Daphnia pulex: one gene and its partner. Each later gene encodes a partner of the first gene's protein in a complex. Links are inferred from orthologs where the notes say so. Each region holds a gene or a part of one and is shown on either strand. Other genes may lie near its edges.

Region 1 (2,271 bases):
ACTGTAAAGCGACGACGATGTAGTTAAACTTCCCTCCTGGTCCTGAAAAATAGCCGAGTTCGAATTTTCTTTCTTCGAACCCCCCAAACCCCACCATTTGTCATGTGTCTGTTGTGTATTTAAGAAAAAAAAAAGTCCTGAAATATCTCCCACGTCTTTTTGTTTTTTTCTCTCCGACCCCCTTTACCATTTACTCTTCCTCCAAGGAGTTAGCACTCGGGCGATATACACACAAAATATGTTCTCCATATTGATTCTGTCCATCTTATTTTGATCCCGTCATTACAATAAATGAACAGAAATGTGCAACCAAAATGACAATCTTATTTATTCAAGTGATGTCTAACCTAGAATCAAGTTTGGTTCACCCCGGAATGAATCTTCTGTCAAGTGTTTCGAATGTTTCCGTCGTTATCCTGCTGTTAATGGTTAGGATGTTGGAAGGAATGTTGATCGACTAAAAACAAATAAAGATAAAATAACGGCTGTCGAGAAACCTTGATGGATAACGGTGGTTTCGTTGGGCACATGGTGTAATGGTTAGGCAATTGAAACATTTCGCTGTCATCTCATGCTTTCTCGGATTTAGTAATTTGTTTACATTCAGAGTTGAGTTTTTAACGAACGTGAAAATGAGAATCGGGGTTAAAACAAATTTATTCTGGCAAAGTATTTTGAATGAGTTCTATGAGCTCCTCAATTTGTTCTTCAGTCAACCGTTCCTGATCTGTAGATTGGACAATCTAAAAAGGTTTGAATCACTGATTAAGACATGGACAATTCTAGTGGCATGCATAGCTTTTATACCAGTGATATTTCAACGTCAGTTTTAGGCCTCAGATTCAAGATCATGGTTTTCTCTTTTTTAGTCAGTCCAAACTTTTTCACATCCTCGAGAAATTTCTTGAAGCAACCCTCAGACTGTACTGCAGCTGGCGTGCCTTCAAGATATTTTATGGCCTATAGGCAAAAAGAAACTGGTGAATCGAAGCAGATACACATTGAAATCATTTGAAAAAATCCTTACTTCATACGTGATGGTGGCTAAGGACCCACTTTGATTCCTGGTTTGGTCTCCTTTGACTCTTGAACTGTTCAAAAGTCCCAGAACCTTGAAGAATGTTAGATTACAAATAAATTATTCAAAGCCACACATTCTCCAGTAAACAGGTTTTACCTACCTCAAAATTGCTAAGTATAGCCGTGTTTGCATCGATTCTGTAACACAAACAAAAAATGGGGTTGAGTGGAAGTTCATGGACAAATTTATACAATTAGCTTACATTTCCATTTCAATTACGATCAGTAGCCAGAAATGCTTGAAGATTCCAAACACGAGCAGATTGTTTTGAAAAAAATGCACGTTTTTTTAGAGAACTTTTCTTCACGCTGCAGTTGTAGGCAACGATGTCATTTGGAAACCGCGGTAAAATTATTTCGATTTCAATTCAGTTTTATCAATTCTATCTATTTAAAGAAATTTTGAAAATAATCCAGCAAGTATTATGTAATTTTCGTTTGATCAAAATTATCTTGTGGTTTTTAAAGGCACGAAGAGGAAGCAACGCTGTAATTGCTGTCTGCTAAATATTGGTAAACATTCTCTTTGGATGAGGTTTGCAATGTTGAAATCATGTCGTTGCTTTCAATTGCTACCTTGATTATTCAAAGAAAAAAGCCGACCGCACCGCAATATCGCAAGGTAAAGGTGCCCTATTTACTCTCTTTAGTATTTGAAGGTTTTCTTTGCTTAATCTACCTCGTGGGCATGTTTATTTCGTAAGGTTGATTCACCATAGTAAGCCATAAAAGATATATATGTTATCTTATCGCTTATCAGCAAGAATCATAGACCTATTACAACTACAGGTGAAGAATACAGGCAAGGCATAATCCTAAATTTTCTGTTGATGTAAATTATATTCTAACAAAGTAAAAAAAAATTGTATAGAGCAATGGATAACCAACCTAGTATTGTTGAAGCAGATGCTGTTCATCATAGGTTGAGTAATCAAGTCAATACAGTCAAAGATTTTCCCTATAGATGCTATGACTGCCCACAGTTATTTACTGCATTGGAAGACTTGGCTCAGCATTCCATTAAAAACCCAACCCACAGTGAAGAAATGTGTTTAAAGTGCAAGAAATCCATTGTTGTATTCTTTACATCTAAATGTGCAGTGAGAATTCACTCTTGTAACAAATCTGATGTTTGTCACAATCATTCAGATCTTCACTTTCACAGTCAGTTCCTTTTTACCAAATTAAATT
Region 2 (2,664 bases), on another chromosome or scaffold:
ACTCACATAAGCACTAAAGACAAGAAGAGGGGGCTAAACGTTTTCAGACGCTGGTTCACTAGCTTCAACCAATCCGTATTTCTTCAGCTTTTCCACTGTAATTGTTTGAGCACAGCCAGGACGAATGATGCGATAGGTGCCAGGTGACGACAAGTCGACAACAGTAGATCCTAGTCGAGCGGTAGAGCCGTCTGGAATAGGGCCACCGTTGAAGACAGCCCCGAGATGCTCCCAAATCCCTAGAAATTCTTCCACCGATAGAGTACTCTGAGATCCGCTGATGTTGGCGCTAGTCAACGCTAAAGGTTCAGCACAGCTATTTGCCAGTTGACGAATGAACCAAGAGTCCGGAATTCGAATGCCAACAAGTTTAGTTCCGGGGTTGAGTTCAGGATTCAAGGCAGGACTTCTTTCGAACACAAGGGTGACGGGTCCAGGTAAAAGGTCGTGCAGTAGACGTTCATCTACTGTAACGTGTCCCCACTTGGCGATTTCGCTAACTTGCGACACGCAAATAGCAACCGGTTTATTCTTGTCTCGCGATTTGATTTGATAAAGTTTTTTCAAAGCTTCTGAACTTTGGGACAGACAAGCGATCCCATATAAAGTGTCTGTTGGAAGAGCAATCACACTGCCCGATTTCAGAAGCTCCACTGCATTTTTTAGGATGGCTGCGGAGTTCTTGGGCCCAAGGAGGATGACTGGGTTGATCATTTGACAATTTTAAAGGCGATAATGAGTTGAGTTTAACATGAAAAAAAGAAAGTGGGGGTTTGAAGGCAGGTTGTGTCTAATCACGCCACAGGTTGGAGCACTCGTGGTTGCAGCACTTGTAAAAGGTGGTCATAGGCTCATCTGCAGATCGTGTCTGCATCTGCAAAAAGTAAGCTCTTGAATGGTCACACTTGGGACAAGTTGCTTCAGTGGAATCCACATTCTCCCAGGCAGCAACTCCTCCTAATACATCATCCACTTCCTTAAGTTTGGGGAATGATTTGCTGCTAACTTTTCGATTAATGTTGAATACGTAAGGGCAAGTACGGCAAGAGAATCGGAAACACTTGGGTCCTTCTTCAACACCCAAAAGATTTCCACACGTGGGACAGAACATCAACATTTTGATAACTTCGTAAGATCAATGTCTTCTCATTCAAAAACTTCGTACCATAATACAGAGTTTAAAATGCCACCATTTATATCTGCAAGGGAAATCAAGCATCATGTAACTTGAGAATGTTAGATAATAATCATAGTGATGGAATTTTACCTCTAACAATCGCAAATTACCCGTTGAAAAATGTTGCTTCGATTAATGTCGTCCCCTTTTTCCAACATACTTCCGCCCATGCTTTTTCGTCAGCTGTTTAGAAAAAAGCGTTGCCAAGTCGTGGTAACGTAGACCAAGTTCGAAGCGCCAAATCGAATTGCGAATTGCCGATAAATAAACAAATTATTTATTGTTGTCAAGATTTATAATTTATAATTTATAACCTCGTACTCATAGTAAGAGGTAATTTATTTCATGAACTTTGTTCTTTGTTCATATCAGTGATAAAATTCACTCCCCAAACCCCTTTTGGGAAATAAGCTAAGTATTTTTTTTTAAATAATAAAATTTGATGTTGTGGCAAGCCCACAATAGCAAAGTGATAGTAGTTGATGGGGATCCCACCTTTTTTTTCGGGGGAGGGGTTTCACACCCTTCTTTTTTATTGGTGAAAAAAAAAACGTGAACGTGGTGGCATTAGATTTTATTTGGCGCAATAATTGTTAACTGTCACATCATCCAAACCAAATGATTTGGTCAGTTTAAAATGGGTCGTGGTGAAAAGTGAAAACAACTTTAACGTCAAAGGCTCATAAAGAATCGAATGCATAATACTCTGTAATGAAGCTAACTTGGGTTTGAACTTTGCTTTCCATTCCCTGCATTGTACGGAAGACAGCAATTTTACTACATTAGTAATAACACAGAAATGTAAACTCTTTTAGACCGGAACCGAAAGAGAGAGGCTATAAGCTATATATATAAGTATACATACAGTCTATAACTATCAATCACTTTACTTTTTTTTCCCCCATTGAAATCGTCGTAACGGATTCACGGTATAGCCGCAAACTTTGTGCAGCAGCCAATCACATTGAAGGAAGCAACATTTTGAAATGGCAGATAATACAGTGACACAAAGTTTACCTAACTACATATCTATAACAATAAGCAAATCAACTTGTTCGAAATTGCGTGAGGCAAATGTGGCATCTCTTGGAGACAGGCAAAGCTCTTACTGGTGAAGCTCAGAGAGTCGATTGATGACACTTAGATAGCTTCGTTTGCTCGAAACGCTTCCATCTGGTTGGCTCTTTGGCGTCTGAGATCCGAACGGATGAACAGCGATAGAGCAGCGCCGAAAAATAGTGCTGCCGACAAACTTCCGTTACAGACCAAATCGCCGTAGTTGCTCAAGAGCCAACCCCCGATGATTGTGAAGACGATACCAAATACTTGGGCGGAGGCATTCAGTAAACCAGACGACGTCACTTCTGGCTCAGGGTACGTCAATTCAGCTGCAAACTCGAATCCAACAGGCAGATATCCAGTCATAAAGAACCTTAACCAAATTATCACAAATGTTACGAAATCTTTTAGAACACATAAGTAATATT

The links.
Region 2: DNA-directed RNA polymerase III subunit RPC9-like (region 1) and DNA-directed RNA polymerase III subunit RPC10-like share a complex: the UniProt entries of both Homo sapiens proteins name them as parts of the RNA polymerase III complex. The link is inferred for Daphnia pulex from reciprocal best matches to the Homo sapiens genes CRCP and POLR3K.

The regions. Positions count from the first base shown.
Region 1 is NC_060023.1:11,614,138-11,616,408, reverse strand, and holds DNA-directed RNA polymerase III subunit RPC9-like, read right to left. Parts: upstream 1,292-2,271; coding exon 1,284-1,291; intron 1,219-1,283; coding exon 1,182-1,218; intron 1,112-1,181; coding exon 1,028-1,111; intron 961-1,027; coding exon 808-960; intron 744-807; coding exon 657-743; downstream 1-656. UniProt on the Homo sapiens protein: DNA-dependent RNA polymerase catalyzes the transcription of DNA into RNA using the four ribonucleoside triphosphates as substrates.
Region 2 is NC_060019.1:12,453,111-12,455,774, reverse strand, and holds DNA-directed RNA polymerase III subunit RPC10-like, read right to left. Parts: upstream 1,118-2,664; coding exon 791-1,117; downstream 1-790. Other genes in the region: yrdC domain-containing protein, mitochondrial-like, read right to left, coding at 34-714; feline leukemia virus subgroup C receptor-related protein 2-like, read right to left, coding at 2,318-2,609. UniProt on the Homo sapiens protein: Core component of RNA polymerase III (Pol III) which synthesizes small non-coding RNAs using the four ribonucleoside triphosphates as substrates. Can mediate Pol I proofreading of the nascent RNA transcript.